Ovis aries: one gene and its partner. The protein of the gene in region 2 purifies or fractionates together with the protein of the main gene of each other region. This does not show direct contact. Links are inferred from orthologs where the notes say so. Each region holds a gene or a part of one and is shown on either strand. Other genes may lie near its edges.

Region 1 (12,198 bases), on a different chromosome or scaffold from region 2:
CTGACCCACCGACTGGCTGTGTGTTCCCCGCAGGGGGCGGCCTTTCCCTTTCTCCCTAAGTCAATGACCTGAAAAGCTGTTTCGCAGGACAACATCACAACATGGCCTCCTGCACTGAACCATTCTAGTTTACAGAAACGTTTCCTTTAAAAAAAAAAAAAGGGTCAACATGTTACAACAGCAAAAAAAAAAAAAAAAAAAAAGGAAAACGAAAGAGAACAAGTCCCCGGCCGCTGCCCTAAGGAGGCCAGTCGCCCCGCCCACCGGCCACCGTCCCCGCCCGCGTCTGCTGGGGCGGCCTTCCTGCAGCGCGGCCCCTCCACCGCGCCTGCCCTCGGGTGCCTGCTGCGAGCGAGCCCCCGCGTCCCGACGGTCCTGTCACCGTCTATGACACCACCACACACTCCCACGCGTCATCTCCCTGGATTGCGTCCCCGCATTAAATACACCAACGTTCTCAGGGGCCTCGGACACTCGGCCACACCACCCTCCAGAGCGCAGTCATCTGGCAGAACGCAGGTCTTTCTCATGTGAACGGTGGGCGCACAGCAGTCAGGACGCCTGGCGGTGGCGGCGAGCAGCCTGATGAAACACCTCCAAGGCCTCATTCCTTGAGAACCTGACAACTGAGGGGGAACTGCTTAGCGCCAACGCCTCCGAGAGCGCGGCAGGAGCAGCCTCGGCGAGGAGGCGCTGACACCCTCGCTGCGGTGCGGGCTGAGGCCTCCTCACGGGGCCCTCGGGTGGGTGCGCCTGGCACGGGGCCCCAGAGCCCTCACTCCTGCCGGCCGCAGCGCCCGAATGAGCGCTGTGCCAAGCCCACGGCAGCCCCTGACCGGCCCCGAGCCCCCAGCGCACACCCCTGCTCCTATCTCAAGGGCCAGAGGTTCTGTGAAAGTTTTCACCAAACCTCAGCGACTTTACCAAGAGCGCTCGGCTCCGGGGCAGACGCGCTGAGGTTTTCACTGTCTACACAGTTCAAAGGGAGAAGCAGGGAGTCCCACAGCACAGGGCCTGAGGACGCCAGAGCAGCTTCAGCGAGGCTGGCACTAAGACATCCATCTACCCAGGGACCCGCTGGCTCTACTCAGAGCTCAGGGGACAGACAGGCTCCTGCTCCCAAGACTGCAAACGCCACCCTGGCAGACTGGAGGGGAAAGGAGCGCACACGCCATCCATGCCGCGGCCGGGGCGGACGGGGTCAAGCTTCGCTAAGGGTCAGGGGACAGGCAAGCGGTGCCGCACAAACACTCGCCCCCGGCGGCCGGCGGTGAAGAGCCCGTCCGCACCGCAGGAGACGCACCAGACGTGCGCCGGGTCCCTGCGTCGGGAAGGCCCCCGGAGAAGGAGACGCCAGCCCACTCCAGCACTCCTGCCTGCAGAAGGCCATGAGCAGAGACGCCTGGCGGGCTGCAGTCCACGGGGTTGCGCAGAGTCAGACCCGACTGAGCGCGAGAAGACCTTGTGGAAGACGGGCTTACAAAGGTGCTGGTTCTCCACCGGGAAGAGGCTGCAGACCGAGGGTCCAGAGGCGCCCCTGCGGGCTCCCCACAGCTGCTGGCTGGCTGGTCCTGGGCCAGCCGGCCAGGCCCTCCCCGCACTGCTGCAAGGGGCCAGTGCCCCGTGAGTCCACCAGCTACCTGTGGTCTTGCCAGAGCTTTTCACAGAACCCTTAAGCAAGTGCACGAAGGCTCTTAGCGCCAATACACTACACAAAATCCATCAGTGTGGCAGAGGGCTCCACAAACCACAGCCTGCAGGCCCACGGCTGGTCCGAGCGGGCGGGCCGGGACAGCTTCAGGGCCCACAAATCTGACCAGCAGGCCCTTCCCCGAGGAGGTGTCGCCGCTCACAGCGGGCTCAGACGCCGGGAACGCCACAGACCCCGAGAACCAGGAAACTGCAGCGGAACCAGCCCCTGCACCCCGTCCTTTCGTAATCTGTCCCGTGACCAGGACCGTACGCGGTGCCCAGCACACACAGGGGCCCAGGCGCAGACCGCAGCTCCCTGCGAAGGCCGGAGCACGTGCCTCGAGCGACTGCGGGGCGGCCGCCGCCTCCAGGCAAAAGCTGCACGGCAAAAAAACCCACTCAGGCATCTTCAGCTCTAACAACATCCCTGGTGGCTCAGAGGTTAAAGCATCTGCCTCCAATGTGGGAGACCCGGGTTCGATCCCTGGATGGGGAAGGTCCCCTGGAGAAGGAAATAGCAACCCACTTCAGTATTCTTGCCTGGAGAATCCCATGGACAAAGAAACCTGGTAGGCTACAGTCCACGGGGTCGCAAAGAGTCGGACACGACTGAGCGGCTTCAAATTCAAAAAACAAAGCGAAGCCATCAACTGGCAGGACAGATTTTCAAAGGCCCCGGGGTGACGGACACGGAGACCGAGACCCCCTGCGGCCGTATGAAAGATTCCACAGCAAAAAGGTGGAAAACAGAGCAACGTACAAGCACCCATCCCAGGGAGACTGGCGACACGGCCGTGCAGTCAGAGCGCTCCGGGCTGGACCCCCACATCCCGCCCCCGCCCCCCGGGCCCTCACTCTGCGCCCCCAGCTCTTCTGCGGGCTCTGCCGCTTCCACCTGGGCTCAGACCCAAATCTGTCTATTTAGCTGGAGCCCTGGCCGGCCCCCTGCTGCAGACCCGTGTCCCTGCCCCAGCCCTGCCTCGCATCTCTCACCTGAGGCGCCGTCCCATCAGCCTGAGGCCACACCTCTCGCCTCACCTCCAGGAAACTGCCCAGAGCAGGGCGCCCCAGCGGCTTCCTCCCGGACTCCCCACGCAGGAGACCTCAGTCCAGCTTCTCACGCTCCCTTCTCCCGTGACAGCCCTTAATCCACGCCGCACTCCAGACTCGCCCCACCCCGGCCCACCTCGGAGCAGGCTGACCGCGACAACCCTCTTCTTAAAGACTCTGGAACGCTCCCACCGCTGGACGCAGGTACCAAACGCAGGAGGCCTGTCACAGCTGAGCGTGCTCCCTTCAAGCCTGCGGCGGCGCCTCGTTCGCAGCAACCACAGCTGCCCTTCCACCTCCCACAGCAGCCCTCACCCTTCAAGAGCCACTCCCCACAGAGCACCTTTTCCTCCAGGCCCTGCCTGACCCCCGGCCGGCCATCCGCGGCACCCTCAGGGAGCTGAGCTCGGCGGCAAGGTCACGGTCTACTTCCATGACGAGGCTGGAGTCCAGTCTCGCGCTCTGGGACGGAGGAGGCCTCAACACACTGAGATTCCTGCTGAAACTAAACCGCCACAGACACAGGGAAGCCTCTCCCCCAGGCCCCGGTAAGTCTGTTCCACAGACAAGGAAACCCCGTGTGCCACCGGGCTTGCTGCCGGGCCCCTTCGTCTCTGCGCCGCCAGCATCCCCGACTAGCGGCCCCACCTCGCTGGGGAGGCCCTATCTGGACTCCCACTAACAGAGCACTGCCTCCTTTTACTTATCAGAAGGAAAACGTTGTTGCCCGAGTGAACCTCAAAAATAATCCAGTCCAACAGTTCAGATCAAGAGAATCATTCTTCTATAAAACGTCCTCTGAATCCAAGTCTCAAACGAGAGAAGGGTCACAGGTCAGACGGCTGTCAGCACTCAGGCGCCACGGGGACAGAACTCCCGCCTGGCTGAGGTTCCATCCAGCGTCACAACAGTTCTGTTCCCATCTAAACTGAACTCAGGGGATTTAAGCTACCGGTAAGAAGAGACTCAAAGGTTACCCATAGTGCCGAATTCTATGTCAACTGAAATCAGCTACCGCTCCTCTCCTACCTGCTACTCCTAATTACGAGCCCAAATGCCCCCTTAAACACCCAGGTTGCGGCCGTGGGAGAAGGCGTGGCCTCTGCCTGGCGGCCGTGAGCGTCCCCTCTGGGCAGGCGCTCAGGTGAGGTTGGGCATCCTTTCTGGCCCTCGCACAGCTGCTGCCTGTATCAGAGGACGCGGTCTTTAAAGTCAGCATCCAGGAAGCTCCAGAAGAGCCTGACAGGGAGTGCTGAGCAACATCAGATCTGTACCACCAGAGCGTGCTCTCAGCAATATCTATCGAGCAACAAAACAGGGGGGTGGGGGTGGGGAGGTGCCTCTATGAGCCAACTCGCCTCTGTTTTTCCCATCTTTGCTCCTCACGACCCTCCTCCCAGTCATCACACAGCTACACGAGCTGGAACCGGAAACTTCATAAGAGAAGCGACCTACGCAAAGCACACTTCCAATTTTCTAGACCCGGGAAAATGTACTGTCTCTAAACTGAACCCACTCAGAAACTGGACCCTGCTGTTAAACTGGAAACAGCCTCTATTAAAACGGAAAGAAAAACCCAGGAGCACTTACCTAACACTGAACAGAACTTAACAGAATCTTGGAAGTGTTCACACTCAAGTAAGATGGAGGTGAAGTGTCTGTTTATGCAACAAGCTTCAGCCTACAAGCTGCACCCGTGTGCGGAAAAAGAATCCTTTAAAATCTGTCATTGGAAAACCAGAAGCCACTGACACACCTTAAATGTAAGATCCAAGACAGGACTGAATAGTGCAACTCAAAAGGCAAAATTAACAAGACAACCCAGAGGACAGGCAGCTGCAAACACACCAAGTCATCTGCCTCTTCCTTCCTCCTCTCCGTTCCCCTCCCATCAGCAACCGTCTTCAAACCACAGCCGTCCGTCAGCCCTGCCAGTCAGCCTGCGGAACGTCTCTACTACAGATGGACGCACGGACGGACGGACAGCTCACCAATCGTCATCACCGTGACCTGGATTGCAATAATGGCCCAGGTCACTTCCTGACTGCAAACTCCCCCCTGGCACCCCACTTCCTTCCTCTGAGCAGCCGATTCAAGCTGCCTCTGCAGAGCCACGGCCCTGGCGCGGCTGGCTCCCCACCCTGGGCGCCCTCTTGGCTTCAGCCCTGCTCTGACCCTCCTGCCTCAGGTCAGCCCCGCCTGCTAGACCCCCTGCCCACGTGGACTTTCTTCACACCGACCAATGCTGTCTTTTACTTAAATCTCTACTTTCCAGCCTGTCTCCTCACTGACATCTAAGGCCCATGATGGAGAAAGCACGTCACCCCTCTCTCCCAGTACGCATCCCTGGGATTAACTCTCCTGTAATGTCTGGACAAGGACGTACACTGTGAAGTTAAGGGGGCGTCCCTGTGGTGCAGAGGTTGAGACCCCAGCTGCCACTGCCAAGGGCTCAGTTTTGGTCCCTGGCCAGGGACTTTGGCTCCCACACGCTGCACGGCCAAAAAAAAAAAGCTACTCCCCCAACAAAAAAAAGAGATCAGTCCTTAAATTCTGAGGAAGCCAGTAAGTCGTCACTTTTTACTGAGCAAAATGAACCCCAAAAAATAACTATTAGCCAAAGCGCAGAAGCTCTGGCTTCAGGAGCTCGGTTCTGAGGCCTGAAAGAGCCTAACCACTTCATCCATCCTGCCTGGGGCGTGGAAGCACACGGCCCTGATTTTTGCCTTTGGCCAAAGCTGGCCCGGCCTTGTCTTCTACACTAGCTGAGTAATAAGCGCATCACACAGATCCGCGGGTTTCTGGCTCCGGGAGAGGCGATCCAGGTTCAGTGTGACCAAGTGAATCCTGCCAGGATCTCATTCAACTGGGGCAGCGGCAGCCCTCGGAGACACCAGGGGAAGGAAAACTCGACGGCAGCGGGACGCCCGGGGCAGCGGGCGGAGAAACAGCAAAGCTCAACTGGAGGCGGGGGCAGCGCCAGGGAAAGGCCCCAAGGGCAGGGAGGCGCGCCCGGTGAGGGGCGGGTGGGGCCCGAGCAAAGGTCCTCCGGCGCGAGTGGGCGTGTAGCGCGGGCTCCCTGGAGGCGGCGGGAGAGGGTGAGGACGGGCATCTGGGAAGCAGCACGAAGGGAAAGCTGGGGGTGGCGGCTGCGGGCACTGGGAAGCCAGGGCCGCGCCCCTTTCTCTCCACCCAGAGGGGCTCGAGTCCCTCCCTCACGGCTGCACTGAGGCGCGCGGCGAGGCCCAGTCAGTGCCCGAGAGAGCGCTCAGTCACCTTCACAAGCCAGAAGAGCCAGTTACGCGAACGCAGCTGAAGCCTCACCACTGCGGGAGCCGAGAGCCCCCAGCCTCTCACGCTGGAATCACACTGTGCTGAGCGCTGCCTCTAGCTCCCAGGCTCTTCGGGGACCTGGAGGCCTCGCCAGTCAGACTCGCCGCGGCTAGGCCTTTGTTACGCAGTATCTGATTTATAATCCCTGTCTCCCAGCTTTTAAAGTCCATTTAGCTCAGCAGTTAACCTCCTGGTCATTACACCGCGAGGGCTTCATTCTTCTCTACCTCTAGTCCACAGAAGCATCCAGTGCGTCCCCCTTTAATACGACAGCTTCTCATGTTCAGAGCTGAGACTACTATCTTGTCAGCAGATCTATCAAGTCAGAACCATCTCACCCTGAAAAAAACCTGTATTAGCACCCTGTCCTTTCTAAGCAGACGCTTGAAAAGATCAATACCTTTTATTTTTAAAACCCTACGCCATCTCTTTAGCTCAAGTTTTGCATAATCTGCACAAAAGAAGCCTCGAGCAAAATATTAAGGCCAATAATGAAGCCCAAATGAAAAGGGATGCCCAATGCTCAGTGTCACTCTGGGTTATTTTAAAATAGATACTAAGTCATGCAACTCAGTACAAAAAGGACATCTGAAATTCAACTAGCGTAGAATCTTCAGTGGAGTGTCATTCAAAATTTCCTCTTAGTAACAGTCTAGACTCATTCCACCTTGGAATTTAACCAAATGGATTTCCAGTCCATTAAAGGCCCAGCTTGGGGGAAATCTATTAAAAAAAAAAAATTCCTCGTTCAAGCCGACCTCTTCTACAGTATTTTCAGTTAATGTGTTATAAAACAGACGCCTGGCTTATTTCAACCCTGGCACCAGGCTATCAATATATGGCCCTGATATTTCACAGGTAAAGGCATTTCGTTTCTACCTGCGAAGGCATTTCCATCTCTAGAGTTTCCAAAGGCTGCCGTCCGGGAGGTCCAACCCCGGAGCTCAGAGACCCTGAAAGCGGTGCAAACTCGGGAGGGCGGGGGGCAGGGAGGGGCCCGCGGGGCGGGGAGCCGAAGACTAGCTTCAGAGTCTCAACCCGTGGCCCCAAACCGGCTGCAAGACCGGGAGCAACGCCCTGCTTCAGCAGGTAATTTGCACCGAGGACGCGACGAAGGGCAGAAAGCGCCCCTTTTCCAACTGGGCGCCCGCAGCGCGAGCTGCCGGGCCCGACGCACCGCCCTCACCCACGGCGCCCCCGGCCGGCGCCGCCGCGCCGAGCCCCGCGGCCCCGCGCACCTGGGCGCCGGCTCGATGAGCGTGGTGGTGTCCAGGTAGTGGATCTTGTAGAACTCCAGCAGCGCCGGCAGGTGCTCGAACTCCTGGTCCCCGATCTTGAAGCGGCGGTTGGGCAGCGAGTTGATGATGTAGTGGGACACCCGCGAGTTCTCGGACACGGACAGCACGTAGTCCCCCGGGCAGGTGGACGAGTCGCGGACGAGGAACACGCCGTGGCGCTGGCCCTGGAGCCGCGTCTGCGCCTCCTGGCGGGACACGGGCCCCATGTACCAGGCCGAGCGGTCCGAGGAGTCGAACCTGGCGGAGGACATGGCGGGCGGCGCGCGGGGGGCCGGGCGGGCCGCTCTCGCCGGCGCTGGGGGCGCCCCGCCCGCGGCGGCTGCGCGCCGGCCGGGCCTCGGGCTCACCGCGCGCCTACAGGCCCGCGCCCGCGCCTTCCTCGCGGCCGCGGGCCCGCAACATCCTCCGGGCCGCCGGCCTGCTCCGGGGCCGCCGCGCGGGCCCAGCCGGCTCCGGGCGCGGGCCCGGCCGAGCGCGGCGAGGGCGGCTCGCGGCGCCTCCGCTCAGCCCTGGCCCCGGCGCGCGGCCGGCCCCGCGTCCCCGCCGCTCCGCACCGAGCCCCGCGGCCGCGCCGAGCCGCACACCGCCCGGGAGCGCCGCGCCGCCGGGGCCGCCGAGCCCTGCCCCGCTCCCGAGAGCCACAGCAACAAAATGGCGGCCGCGGGCGCAGCGGCGGCCACCTCCCCCGCCCCCCCCCGCGCCCCGCGACTGCGCACGCGCGCGCGCCCGCTCCCGGCGGCCGCCGGCGCCGCCCCGTGACGTCACGCCGCGCGGCCAATCGCGAGGGCGGGCGTGCGCCGCCCGCGCGCGGCGCCGCGCTCCCTCCCGGGCCCGCCGGGGGGCGCTGCGGGGAGGCGGCGCTTCTGGAGCCCGCTCCGGGAACAAAGCGGGCGGCGCGGGCCAGGCCCGGCCCCCGGGCGCGGCCCCGGGCCGTGCGCAGCCGGGCCGGCCAGGTTAGGGGGTGGCGGGGCCGACCGCCGCGGGTGCTCAGGCGGTGGCTGGCGAAGCTCCCGCGTCCTCTCGGAGCCCTTGCCGCCTTGGCCCCCCCAGGACCCCCGCCGCAGAAGCCCCGGCCCCTGGCCGCACCCCCGTCCGCGCCGGACCGTCCGTTTCACGGGAGCGGGGTTTGGTGCGCCTTGTTCAGCCCTGGGCCTGGCGCTTCTTCGCCCCGCCCTACGCTGATCTCAGACCTGGGCGGAATGAATGACTGTCGGGGACCCCCCGCCCCCGCCCCCGCCGGCCGGTGGAGGCGCCTGTCCAGAGGGGCATCGGAGCCCGGCTCTAGACTCCTGGGGAGCCGATCTCGTTGCTGGGCTGAGCCTGTCCTGCACTGTAGGTAGGGCAGGCGTCCCCAGCTTCTGCGACCCAGTGCCTGATGACGGGAGGTGGAGCCGATGTAAGAATAACAGAAAGAAAGTGCAGCGTGAAAGGAATGCGCTTGAACCATCCCCCGCCCCGAGGAAAAACTGTCTTCCACGGAAGGGTCCCTGGCGCCCAGGATGCTGGGGACCACTGTCGCAGCGTGATGGCTGACGTTCCTTCCGGGTAAACTCAAGGGGAATCGTCACGGCCTAGGGCCTTTTGTGACTCAGCAAAGCAGGTTTTCAGCTTCCCTCCAAATACTTTCGCGTCGTGTTACTTTCGGGCACAATTTGAATAGCTCAGAATTTGAAGAGGAAGGCTTGAGTTCCAATCCTAACCTGACTTACCAGTTGACTGTATCATTCCTTGTCATATTTTTTTCATCTTCTAATATTAATTTTTCTTTCAGTTTTATAGAGAGATAGTTGACATACAGCACTGTACAAGTTTAAGGTGTACAGCTTAATGGCTTGACTTGCTTACATCATAAACTGATTATCATCACCATAAGTTTACATATAGATACAAAATTAAATACAAAAAAAATGTTTAGTGAGCATCTCAAAGATACACAATTATATCTCAGAGAAGTTATCATAGGTTGTATGCTTTGCAAGAGGCACTCAGGGAGGTCTTTTGAAGTCCAGGACTCATTTCAGTGTTACACAATTATTGCCTATAAGTTAGTCCATTTTGCTTGCTTTGCTAATGTGTGTGTGTGTGTGTGTGTGTGTGTGTGGCGGGGGGAGCTATTAATTACATTATTCTACTTTTGTGTATGTTTGGATTTTTTCACAATAAAAATAATTAAGTAATTTCTTATTTTTCCTTAGCACAGCTGAAACAAGCTTAAAAACTTTTTCCCCCAAAAAAACAGCCTAGCCACTAAGAGGTAATGAAATGGAAATGAAGGGGACAAACGACAAGAAGCTTTAAAAAGGGGCCATAACGTAAAAAAGATTTGTGATTCTGCTCTAGCTTGCTCTTCCCGAGGTTTCCAGGTAGCATTGTACTTACTCTCTTCTAAGATAGTTAGTTTAGACTCAATTGACAAGGCTTTTCCAGCAACTTGCCAGGGTTCCTGTCCCTGAGGCTGCCTCTGTACTGAGGATTCAACGCCAGCTCTCTTTTGTGGCCTCGCCACGTGGCATGCAGGGTCTTAGTTCCCCAACCGAGAATCAGACCCGCAGCCCCTGCCTTGGAAGACAGGGTCTCAGCCACTGGGCCGGCAGTGAAGTCCCCTCACCGAGGAATCTTTTTAATTATGTGTTTGTTTCCCTTTTCTGTGCGGGGTCTTCATGGCTGCACGGTTTTTCTGCACTTGCGGCGAGCGGGCTTCTCGTTGCGGTGCCTCCTGCTGCAGGGAAGGGCTCCAGAGCGCAGGGCGCGGTGGTTGTGCCGCTGCTGCCCAGCTGCTCCGTGGCTTGTGGGATCTTACCAGATCAGGGACCGAACCCACGTCTCCTTCACTGATAGGCAGATTCTTTACCCAGTGAGTCACCAGGGGAGCCCCCACCCCGCCCCACTGACTTCTGATTCTCCCCTGTCTGGTCCAACCCTGCAAGCGATGGTTAAGGCCGGACGGTCTTCCCAGGTTGCTGCCTTACTGAGGACCCGGGAGGACAGTGTCTGTCCCTTCTTCCTGCCCTAGATTCTTTGCTGGCAAAGACAGTAAGGTAGAAGAGGCCTGCCTGTGTTACGGGGAGACGCAGCAAGCGCGCTCACCGCGCTGACCTGATTGGGTCGGGGGTTCTCAGGCGTGGTCTCCACGAGCCCTGGTTGACCACTGCCTGGGTTAGACACATCCTTGGAGACCCGCCTCGCCCTCTCACCCTGCAGTTCTCCGTCACTGCTCCCCCATGCTTCATGTCTATTTCCAAATTTTTCTCCCTAACACAAAAGAGGAGCTTATTGGTTATCTTCTCCCCCACCATTAGTTTGCTACTTCGATACTAATAAAATAATGTCCAATCCCGATTATAATTTCCCATGACGCACTATTTAAAATATCAACCTGCTCATCTCTTCTTTCCCAGGGGGACATCTCTGCACGAGGCTTGGCTGCTGTGTTAGGAAGTTCTACCGACCCCTCTAGAAAACACTGGCCGACTTAATTCCAGTGTCTTAAAGTCTGGTCATGGCTCCGCCTGGCATTCTCTAACCTAGTTCTAATGGCTCTGCCGCCTCTTGTATAAAATATCCATTTTCTCGGACTTCCCTGGCGGTCCAGTGGCTGAGACTCTTTGTTCCCAGTGCAGGGGGCCCAGGAGTGATCCCTGGTCAGGGAACTAAGATTCCGTGGACCGCAACTAAGGGTTCGCACACCAGACTGCAGACCCCGTGTGCTGCCCACTTAGACTCGAGACAGCCACGTAGGTAAATAAATTAGTTTTTTTAAAAGTCCACTTTTGTGTCACTTGAGCTGAAAGGCAGCTTGTCTTGTTTCTCCTGATTTCAGAGCATCCTGGAGTGCCTTCAGCGAAATCCCCTAGAGGCACGCTGATTCCCTCTCCCATCCCTTCTCGGCCAGTGCTGTGCAGCCCTTTAGACCGGGCGTCCCCAGATTTTCCTCTAAAGATCCAGACAGGAAATATTTAAGGCTTTGCAGGACAAAGAAGAAAATCGAGGAGTGTTATGTAATCTTGCTCCAGCCTCTTGATCTTCCTCCCTGGCTCCAGGAGAAACTCCTGGAAAATGGGAGCATCTTAACACCTCAGGGGATCTGCACCCGTTTTTATCAATCTGGAACATTCTCTCACCTGATGAGAAAAATTTTCTGCAATCTTTTAAAAGGAAGTTCAGAACATCATAGTGGTTGAGTGTTAACTGTTTCATCACCCGAGCATGCGAGTGAGAATAATGGGATTCATCTGGGATAATATTTCACTTCATTGGGCTTCAGCATCAGTGTCCCCTGATGCTGAAATGTTGACCTGCCAGTGCTGAGCTGGGCGTAATTAGGCTCTGTGTCACCCCTGACGATGTCTCGCACCCAGACGGTGCGGCCCACCCTGCACAGTTTTAATGGAGCATGTTCACTGTGGGATGAAAGCGCAAGAGTTAGTTGCTCAGTCCTGTCCAGCTCCGTGCAACCCCGTGGACTGCAGCCCATCAGGCTCCTCCGGCCACGGGATTCTCCAGGCAAGGACACTGGAGTGAGAAACCATTCCCTTCTCCGGGGGATCTTCCTGACCCAGGGATTGAACCTGGGTCTCCTGCGCTGCAGGCAGGCTCTTTACCGTGTGGAGGCCCCAGGGAAGCCAGATTGTGGGATGGTATGTGCAAGAATTCTCCGAGATTCTTCTCTGGACGTTTGCCTTTTGTTATGAATACGTTGCAGATTAATCATCTTCAATTGAAGTTCGGGTGGGAACTCCTGAATTGCCCAATTAAATAGATTTTGAAATATGGAAGTTTCCATTGCGCTTGGCATCAAGGTCTGAAAGATTCTGCTGGAACTGTA
Region 2 (11,483 bases):
TGACGGAAAGCAGAGAATCCAGCTACTTCCTTCTCTTTAATCTTGAGCCAGTCACCGTCTCTTGTCTCTCGGCCTTAGGTTTCTTTTTTTTTTTTTTCTTTCATAAATTATATCTGTTCAAATTTTTTTAATTGAAGTGTAGTTGATTTACGATATATTGATTTCTGCTGTACTATAAAGTATTTCAGTTTTCCATATGTATGTTCTTTTTCATGCTTTTTTCCTTTATGGTTTATCACAGGATATTGAACATAGTTGCCTGTGCTATATACAGTAGGACCTTGTTGTTTATATATTCTGTATGTAATAGTTTACAGCTGCTAAGCCCAAACTCCCAGTCCATCCTTCCCCACTGCCCCTCCCTGCTGACAACCAGTAACTCTGTCCTCTGCTTCTGTGAGTCTGTTTCTGTTTCGTAGACAGGCTCTTTGTCTCACATTAGATTCCGCATATAAGTGATTCCTGCGGTGTCTGTCTTTCTCCTTCTGACTTACTGCACTTAGTGTGATCATCTCTGAATGCATCCATGTTGCTGCTCTCAGTTTTCTTAATTGTAATATGAGGAGGATAGTAACAATTACAACCTCACAAGATTGCTGTGAGGATTAAGTGAGATATAACGAGTACTTAGTTAGCTGTGAAGACTTAAGAGATGTTCGCTGGTAGAATTCCGGACCACATATTTATTAGCCAACTTGGACCAAAACTTTATAAAGTCTTAAAAATAATCACAAGGGTTTTGGAGCAGCCTATTCCAATTTTGTTGTTTGTGCTTTTCCTTTTTTGTTTTGTTGGGGATAGACGGGTATTGTTTTAGGCTTTTTCTTTTTTCCCCCAATAAGTACCTGCCAAAAAAAATTTTATTACATTTTGGATTTAAGTGGCTACCTAAAGGTTCGCTACGTGCTTTCATTCTGATAGTAGAGCATAGTTGGCTCCCTCTATCTGCATGTACAGCTTCAACCAACTGCAGATAGAAGTTTTTTTTTTTGAATTCTGGAAAATTCCAAAAAGGAACAAAACTTGAAATTTTCCAGGCACTGGGTCACTATTTATGTAACATTTACATTGTATTAGGTATTATACATAATCTGGAGATAATTTAAAGTATATGGAAGGGTGTGCATAGGTTATATGCAAGTGCTGCATGACATCATTTTATATGAGGGACTTCAGCAACCTCAGATTTTGGTATCTGCGTGGGGATCCTGGAACAGTACTTGTGATGGGACCACTGTACAAGATAGTTAATTATTTCTCTCTTTCCTTAATCCTGATGCTGTCATCTATTAAAATAGCACTCATCCCTTTCTCCGCTCTGAATAACTAAGTTATTTTAACATTCCTTAATTTTGTTTTGTTTTGTTTGATACTCTGATGATTACATCCCAGCTATTATTTACTATACTGTCAGACTTTTTGTTATTAAGTATACCTTTCAGCTACTCATGCTTTAAAACATCAGTGCTGATACAGTTTTAACTCATTATGAATTGTGGCTAATTTAAGAAATGTCATTTTCATAATTTTAAGTATGTGTGTGTGAGTGTATATAACTTAAACTCTTCTACTAACCATCACCTAGCAGAGACTCTTCAGGAATTTGTGTATTTGAGCTGATGAGTTTTTACAGAGAGTGTATTATTTGATTGTCCACAAATGTCTTTTTAAAAACTAGGGTCCTCAAATGACAGTTATTCTCTTTGATTTTGAGTCTGCGATTTTTTTTTTTACTTTTATCTAATAAAATATTAAAATATTATATTATGAAAATAAACCTAATTCTATTTGAATTAACAATTCTGATTTGTATTCATATAGAGTCACTTTCCTCCAACCACGTTTATATACCTGTCTGTGTGAATAAGCTTAAAAGCCACACAGAGTACATTTTATATATTTATAAAATAACTATAGAAAGGCAGGAAAAAGCTAGCCTATAAATTAGTTCTTTCCAAATTCTACTTAAAATGACCTGTGGAACTGAATGAAGATAGGTAGCATTGCTCAATAAGAGAAAACGTTCTGTTTAAGAGTCTGCATTTCTGTGCATGAGTGTACATACATGTACACGTGTTAGCTGCTTAGGTAACTAGTTATCTATAAAGGCGGACTAAAGAAAGGAAGGGTGGTATACTGTTAGGCAGAATGCTGCATTTTGAAAAGATACAGAAAATTTTGTGAGGAGAAAGTCACTCTTTTTCATGTTTTCTCATAGTAAAATGATAGATACTATTTGGTTCTGTTATAGTACCATGTCATATATAGTAAGCAGTCAGATATTTACCATATCTTCCTCTTTTAATGTGGATTAAATATGTGGTTTTGATTATATAGAAATCATAGTCTAGTTATCCTGAATAATGATAGTACATACTTGTAGCCCTGTTATATCCTATGGCATATAGTATTAGTTTGCTTTACTTTTCTTAGTATTTCAATGTTATCTAACACTTCTTTCACAGTCAGCTTTAATCCAAGGCTATGTGGTAGATTATTCCTAAATGGGAGTAGCTCAGAAAGATAATGTAGTGATTATATAGTTTTCCGTGTTGTACTGAAATCACATGTGCATCATTGTGACTCAGCCTATTTTGCAAAAATGTTTAACAATTTCTTTTTCTATGTTCACTTCATTAAGGTTTACATATATTCTGTCCAGATTACTTATTAGTCAGAATATATCTAATTTATGTATTGGGAAACACAATTATGTGTTACTTTCCTAAAACTTATTTTACTTATTAGCTTTCAAAGTAGTACTAACTATGTATTTTTGTTTATGTTTTTCTATTTTGCTTGGCTTTTTGAACATGTCTGGATTCATCATTTTAGAAGGTAATTATTATTTCTTTTGCTTGAAAATTGTATTTCTCTGTTTTAAATAATTCTAATAAAAATAACATGTTTCTCTTTTTTAGGAAAAACCTTTCAACTCTACTCTCATAATCTTATTGCTTTGTTTGAACAAGCCAAAAAACCAGGACTAGCTGCCCATATTCAGACTCATAGGTTTCCAGATCGCATACTACCAAGGTACTAAATATTTTGATTCTGCTGGGAGTGAGGGGAATTAGTGTCTATTTTTAAAGCAACCAGTCTTCTTGCACACTGAAAAACTTCCCTTGTCTTAATTTTGAAAGGTAGTTTACATTAAAGTAAATGTCATATAGAGTTCAAAAGATAAGTGTTTTGTAACTTGACTGTCCATGACCATCATCCATAGAAGTTTTATGATATAAATTCCCAGGCCCCACCTCAGACCTATACTATCATATAGATTGGAGTCATAGTTTAAGATGTTTTTTTTTAAAGCTCCTTGACTAATTCTGATGGAACTGATTCACAGATCACTCACTGTTTGAGAACCACTGTAGTAGAGTACATTTATATTGTCCTGTGTTTACAGAAAGTTCGCTTTAACCACAAAGATTCCTGATACAAAGGGCTGCCACAAATGTTGCATAGGTGAGTAAATACTATTTCTCAAACTGAATGGTTAGAACTTTTAACATCTTTAAAATTATCTGTAAAGTTCTTAAAGTATTAAATAAAGGAAGGGAAGCTTTATATTTGTTTTAAATAAGGAGTTAAGGGACCACTGAAGCTCAGGAATGTATAGTGGGACATGGCACAAAAGCACGTGAAGATAGCCCTGACCTGATGCTTTCTCATAGCGCAATGTTCCTCAGATTTTTTTAACCATAGTCCCTAAGGCTCTCTCTCTGCTAATATCCTAGCTTTCAGTTAGCACTTACCATTAACAGTTATTGAGTAGTGCTTTATGAACATTATTATTTCAGGACTCTGCCCAACTCTGAAGTTAGGGGGAGCAGCCGTACAAGACCACTCTCACTTCTGTTACCAATTACAAGTTTACCAATTGTAACCTTCATGGTCAGAATTTCACTGGTATGACTCAGAATTTGCTGAAAGTGGTTATACGCTTGGCTTTGGTTTGTTACAGGGAAAGGATATAGATTAAAATTAGCTAAAGGAAGATGTGCATAGGGCAGAGTCCAGGAAAGATACAAGATGTAGAGCTTCTGTTGTCCTCCATAGAATATGGATAGTGTTACTTTTCGGGCAGTGACCTGTGATAATACACAGCATTGCTAGCTAGCTAGGTAAGCTTACTCAGCAACCTCAGTGTTCAGAGGTTTTACTAGGGCTCTATCACATAGGCGTGCTCGACTGCCCACGTGGCTGACCTCAGTATCCAGCCCCTCTGGAGGTCAAGTGATGCTGCATGACCCAAAGCCCCTACCCTAAATTGCATGATTGGTCTTTATGGCCTGATTATTCCCCATCCTAAGACTATCCAATGTTGCCAGACCATGGAGTTGCAAAGAATCGGTCATGACTTAGCAACTGAGCAACAACAATGTATCAACACTGCCTTTATAAAGAAAACTGAGTTAGCTTTTGGGTGAGTATAATTCAGTAATTGGTTTTAGCTAAACTTTATGTTTTCATATAAAAATATTCAGTGTTCTGGGTGTGTCTGTTTTGTTTCTTTCCAGTCAGAAACCCTTACACGGGACATAAATACCTCTGCGGAGCTTTACAGTCTGGAATTGTTTTACTTCAGTGGTATGAGCCAATGCAGAAATTCATGTTGATAAAGGTATATATTAATTTGTTTACATTTGCTTCTTTAGAAAACATGAATGTATAATTGAACCTAAAATTGTAGAATCCCATTGCTAACAGCCGGGATCATGTTTATAGGTATTTATTTGGTTTAAGGGCTTTTGTGTTCTTAAGACTTTAAAGATTTCATCTTTATTTTATGTTAATAGATTTCCAGAAATAACACAGTCATAAAGAAAAATGTGGCCAATTCTCTAAAATAGATGTTTATGGAAAACTGATCCTTATCATGATCATTTAGATGTCATTTTTTTAATTGAAGTATTATATGATATTGTGTTTCAGGTATAGAGCAAAGTGTTCAGTTGTATATTTCTTTTTTCAGATTTTTTTCGTGATAGATTATTAAAGCTATTAAATATAGTTTCCTATGTTATACAATAAATCCTTATTGCTTATGTATTTTATGTATAGTAGTTTGTATATGTAGATTCTGTACTTCTTATTTATCCATTCCCCACCCCCTTTGTTTTTTATGTCTGTTTCTATTTTGTATAGAGATTCATTTGTATTATTTTTTAGATTCCACATATAAGTGATATCATGTATTATTTGTCTGACTTACTTCACTAAGCATGATATTGTCTAGGTCCATCCATGTTGCTGCAGTGGCAATGTTTCATTCTTTTTATGGCTGAATAATAGTCCGTTGAATAGCACGTCTTATGCCAGTCATCTGTTGATGTGCACTTGGATTGTTCCCATGTCTTGGCTGTTATAAATAGTGCTGCTGTGAATGCTGGGGTGCATCTATCTTTTCAAATTAGTTTCATCTTTTCCAGGGTATTCCCGGGAGTAGGATTGCAGGATCATACGGAAGCTCTTTTCTGTTTTTTAAGGAACCTCCATACTATTCTCCATAGTGACTGCACCAAATTACATTCCTACCAGTAGTGTAGGAGTGTTCTCTTTCCTCCAAACCTTCCCCAGCATTTATTATTGCTAGACATTTTAATAGAGGCCATTACGATTGGTGTGAGGTGGTACCTCGTTGTAGTTTTGATATGTATTTCTCTAATAACTAGCAATGTTGGACATCTTTTCATTTGCCTAGTAGCCATCTGTATGTCTTCTTTGGGAAAATGACTATTTAGGTCTTCTGCCCATTTTTTGATTGGGTTTTTTCTTTTCTTGATATTCAAGTTATATGAACAGGATATGTACTTTGGAAATTAAGCCCTTGTTGGTCACATTATTTACAAATATTTTCTCCCATTCTGTACATTTTCTTTTTTGTTTTATTTTATGGTTCCTTTCCTATGCAAAAGCTTTTAAGTTCACTTAGGTCCTATTTGTTATTTTTGGCTTTATTTATTTATTTGACTTAGGAGACTGATCTAAGAAAATATTGCTACAATTTTGTGAGTCTTTAAGCTATTTTGAGTTTATTTTTGTATATGGTAAGAGGGAGGGTTCTAACCTCATTGATTTACATGAGCCTGTCCCACATTCATAATGCTGCTTTGTCATAGATTAGTTGACCATAGGTCTGTAGATTTATTTCTAGGCTCTTTATTCTGTTCCATTGATCTGTATGTCTGTTTTTGTGCCAGTAAGAGGGAGTCATTTCTTAGATCAATCAAGAAAATGAAAGCCTTTCTGTTGAATTTATTCAGCAACAGAATGAATGAGGAGATTGTTTCTAAATTATGCTCCTTTTTTCTTGCAGCACTTTGATTTTCCTTTGCCAAGTCCTTTGAATGTTTTTGAAATGCTGGTGATACCAGAACAGGAATATCCTATGGTCTGTGTAGCTATTAGCAAAGGCACGGAATTAAATCAGGTAGTTCAGTTTGAGACAATCAATTTGAACTCTGCATCCTCATGGTTTACAGAAATTGGTGCTGGTAAGTGTTTTTTACTTTATGTTAAAGTATTAATGCTTTTGCCTATCAAAGAAGCAGAACAGGTTCAACCTGCATGGGCTTTCTAGTAGAGTTTCCCAAGTAAGCACAGAGGATCATGTACATATAGTTTATGATCTCTGTTTGCCAGAGGCAATTTGATACATACAAAGTATTTTACCAAGAAATATTTTAATGATTCCCAGCATTTAAAAGTCTTAGTTGTTGTCAGTTAATATTTGGACTTACTAAGTAAGTTTTCTAAGATAGTTTTCAGATTTTATCTTCTCAAGCAAAGAAATTCACTTTTTTTAAAATCAGTTTTTCCCCCTACACTTCCTAAAATCATTGAGTTCTAGTACTTTTCAGACTTAATAGAAGCTTCTCATGTGTGGCCTCCAAGCATTACCATTTAAAGTTACAGGGAATATTATATCTCTTGCATTTTCTGAGAATGGTTTGTTAGCCTAGAATTTTATCAAACATGTCTCAGTGAAAGCTCTGAAAAGATTGGGAAGTTTATTTTCAAACTTTAAAATTGGAACAAATCAGTCAAGAATTTATGTTAAAAATCACTGTTTTTATTGTACTTGTGTATTGTCACCCCAGGTTTATCAAGCCATTTTTACATACGAAGTCAAGCAAGCTTTAGTTATAACTATTTCATTACTGACCCCCTTTTCTTTATCACCTTGAGAAGAAGTCTGTTATAAGTTATCATAAGTTCTTATTAAATAGCTTTGGCTTTTGATCATCTTTAGGCTAAATTACAAGAACTCTTTATACATCCCAGCTATTGAAGTTAATGTAGAACTGCACTAATGTCACTTTCAGAATAAGAATCAGTATGACCTACTGATTGGTGTCCTAGTAAATGTTTAACAACAGACTCTTGGGCTGCAGAGAAGCCTCGTTTATAGCAGTTGCCTGTTTCTGTGGTATAAATGCTCTCAGCACAGCCAATTTCAAAATACCAACTTAATGTCATCTGACTTGCAAAATTTGTAAAAATTTATCAGTCCAGTACAAGCCAGTTCCAGCATGCCTTGGACTATTATCACTGTTTTTGTGCACCAGATCCTAATTTCCAGTAGAATAAAATAGGAGTATATTCTTTACCCTCCCCCTATCCTCCACTCTTCTCCCCCTACCCTGCCCCCTGCACTCATTTTTCTTTCTAATTTGTTAATGCTTTTGGTTGAGTTAGATGCATACCCTCATGGTATAGCTAACAGGAAGGTCCAAATGGCATTGTTTTATTATCATGAAATATAAGCAAGCCAAATAGAAATGTGTTCGTATTAGATAGTTACTGCTAAAAAGAAGGGTTATAGGTCCGTTCATTTTAAAACCAAGATCATGTTTGGCAGACAGCCTCAACTTGTTTGTTGTTCATATATAATAATAGTGTAGAGAAAGTTATTTCGTAAGATTATCTAATGTAAGTTTGCAAACCACTTTCTTCTGTATATTGTATTAGGTGGTTACATTGTTTAAGGCTGGGCATTCAATGAGTCCTTTTGTGAATTTGCAGGGGTGAGGTTCAGGGGTTGTTGTTTGCTTTTTAATGCCAGAGGTATACTGTTCTATCCACTTACAACACAATCTAGGCTAAAATTATGGCAGACCCAAAACTACTTCCCGAGGAGAGCCAGAACTCTGAGGGTATACATTCAAATCACCCTAAAGCTGAGATTGTCCTTATTAGGTTTCTCCATTTTCACAAATGATTGCTAATCTATCTCCCAGCTATGTTGATTGCTGAGACCATACCTTGACTTGACAGCAGTTTTAACAATTAAAATGAACTCCTATTCCAAGACTCTCTTAGTCGTATTTTGATTAGTTGTTGCAGTATCCTTTTATCCAAGGTTGCTTAGTAATTATCATCAGCACGCAATAACTGTATGTTAATAGAAAAGCTATTTTTTTTTTTTTGGAATATTGCCTGAGAAACAACACTTTACCAATTCTTTACATCTGGATTCTTCACTATATATGGATTTTGGAAGATCCACAAATACCCCCAAAATAATGTGTAAGATTTTGTGTTTATTCTCAGATGTGTAGTTTTTAAGGGAGAGTATCTATGGGTTTTCCCAAAAGATGTAGTTAAGAATGACTGCTCTAAATAATCTAAAATCTTTGCATGGTTTCATCTAGACCATTCATGCAATCTGAGTGGCTAAAATAGTTTTACCAAAAATGTTTTGCAAAAATGTCATCACTTATCTTAGCAGATGTTTATCAGCCAAGTAGTGAAAGTTGCTTCCTGCAAAGATACTGTTGACAGTATTGTTCATTATGTCAACTGGTGTCCTGTTAATAAAGGAACTCCAACCTACACTCACACCCCAATAACCAGAAAAATTGCTCTCTGATCATAGTTTCATTAATACTTTTGCTTTTTCTGAATTACTGACTTTTTTTTTTTAATCTCAGAGACACTGTGACCCACCTGACCTTGTTTTCATCTTTTCATTGGCTACTATAAAATGCAGAGCAAAATCTAATCACTGTATAACATGCATTTTACTTCCTTCCCCATATTTACCATTTGCTTCATTTTATTTTTGTAATATACCTTTCTGGAACCAGCCGAGGTATTAATTAAATATAATATTGAGCCTTTCTCAGTTAGCCTTGCTTAAGACTTTGTTTTTTAAATTGACTTACATATGTTTTTTTTGAGAAGACAATTACGAAATATAATTTTTGTGTTAAACTTCAAAGGCTAGTTTAAAATCACAGAAAAAAATCAGAATTTGTGTTTCTTTTCTAAGTTTTAATTTTTAAAGCACATTATATAACTGTAACCGTATTTTCCTTTTCCCCTCAAGGCAACCAACAGTTAGATTCCATTCACGTAACACAGTTGGAGAGAGATACTGTTTTAGTGTGTTTGGACAGTAAGTACTATTTTAAAGTTTAGTCCAAGTATTCTACTTGATATAACATACCTTTTCATGAGCTAGATTCTAATAGAATCAGTAGATTTTGACTTTCCACCTTAAGTAGCCATGTTTTATTGATGAAAAATGTAAATTATTTACATATATAGTAATTAATTGATCTGTTTGTCAGTACTGTCCTCTGTGACCCTTTTCTTTATTTTGTTTGGCCTACTTGGAAACATTGTACAGTCGACCCTCTGTATCCATGGGTTCTACATCCTTTATTCAATCAACCATGGATTGAAAATATTCAGAAAAAAATTCCAGAAAGCTCAAAAAAACAAACCTGAATTTGCTGAGGGCCTGACAACTATTTATACAGCTTTTATATTGTGTTAATGTATTATAAGTGATCTAGGAACATAGATGACTTAGCACAGGGAACTATAACTCAATAGTATGTATAACCTGTAAGGGAAAAGAATCTGAAAAGATTATATATATACCCCCACACACACATGTGGGCTTCCCCCATAGCTCAGTAGTAAAGAATCTGCCTGCAATGAAGGAGAGGAAGGAAATGCCAGTTCAATCCCTGGGTCAGGAAAATCCCCTGGAGGAGGGTATGGCAACCCACTCCGGTATTCTTGCCTTGAAACTCCCATGGACAGAGGCGCCTGGTGGGCTGCAGTCCATAGGGTCACAAAGAGCTGGACATGACTGAAGTGAGCATATACACGTACATATAACTGAATTGGTGTGCTGTACAACTGAAACGCACACAATATTGTAAGTCAGCTATATTTCAATAAAACTATTCTAAAATGTTAAACTCTATGGAGGGATACATATAGGTTATATGCAAACACTAGGCCATTTTATATAAGGGACTTGAGCATCCTTGGATCTCCTTGAGGGATACAGGAACCAATCCCCCATGGAACCAAGGGACAATGATATTAGAACAGTTTGCCATAACCTTGGGGTAAAATTCTGTATAAACTATTCTGAGAGTTTTTTCATAAATCATTGTAATTAATGAAAAAATTGATTATACTCATATGATCACTTATATAACACGAACTTTTAGAATCCTGTCTGTAATATTCTAATTTACAAATAGATTTGAGATCTTTACCTGTAGTTGTAATTCTTTTAATGTAGGGAGAGATGTTATTTATAGATGTATGTTGTGCTATATATGCAGTGAAGAAGCAGAAAAACTTTAACAGGTTTTTTCAATTTTTCAAACAAAGCACTCTAATTCCTAAAATCTGCTTTACTTGAATGCAGTGAATCCTGCAAGTGAAATTCTCCCAGACTTGGAATTATATTTGAAAGTTGGCAGTATTCTCTGTGATTTGACTCATTCCAGTATTTGAAAATAATTAAAGCTTCTCTTTGATGCTTAGGGTTATTTTTTAAATTGTTCCACTGCTGAATTTGCCGTATTTTTGTCTTAATTTCTCTTTTCTAAAGCATTCCCTTTTGGATTTGCCTTATAGACTCATAAAGATCATCTAATATTATAGATAAGTAAACCAAATTCCACAATGTTTCCTTTGCCCATTATCCCTTAAGTATTTTTGCTTCTTTGAGTACTGATAAGATTGGAGTGTTTTTTGGTTACTTTTAAGTGAATTCAGTGAATTCTTTTTTACTCAAAACAAGTAGAAAGCTCATTACTGATTAATCAGATAAAAAGATGATCAGAATTTAATTGTAATAATGTTTAACCTTTAACATTAAACCCCTAAATACCTTCTGAGCTATCTAAGGATAATAAATCGTACTTAGTTTTCATTTTGTTCATTTACGTATTTTGTCAAAAAAATTTAAACCTTTGATTAACTAAGCCTTCCATTTCCCAGCTATTCTTGGTAAATGGGAAGTTGACTTTCTTCAGTTGGTTTTTCTTCTCTTAAGGGAGCAGAAAAAATTATTTGTCAACTATAGATTATAAAGCAGTTTTACCAAGCAGCAATAGAGATAGGCCTATAATCACAAATCATGATAGACAAATGACGAAGTATTGCAGAGAGAAAATATCTTTCAAGTCAGAGCTAAAATGGTTAAATTAAAAAACAAATGG

Evidence for each region.
Region 1: the proteins of MAP4K5 (region 2) and CRKL purify together in Homo sapiens (affinity purification with western blotting; 3 studies listed by BioGRID and IntAct, with this or other methods). This does not show direct contact. The link is inferred for Ovis aries from reciprocal best matches to the Homo sapiens genes MAP4K5 and CRKL.

The regions. Positions count from the first base shown.
Region 1 is NC_056070.1:72,319,476-72,331,673, reverse strand, and holds the start of CRKL (crk-like protein), read right to left. Parts: upstream 8,027-12,198; 5' UTR 7,625-8,026; coding exon 7,314-7,624; intron 1-7,313. UniProt on the Homo sapiens protein: May mediate the transduction of intracellular signals.
Region 2 is NC_056060.1:41,561,814-41,573,296, reverse strand, and holds part of MAP4K5 (mitogen-activated protein kinase kinase kinase kinase 5), read left to right. Parts: intron 1-2,835; coding exon 2,836-2,838; intron 2,839-2,921; coding exon 2,922-3,036; intron 3,037-3,409; coding exon 3,410-3,468; intron 3,469-4,523; coding exon 4,524-4,627; intron 4,628-6,322; coding exon 6,323-6,500; intron 6,501-9,337; coding exon 9,338-9,406; intron 9,407-11,483. UniProt on the Homo sapiens protein: May play a role in the response to environmental stress. Appears to act upstream of the JUN N-terminal pathway.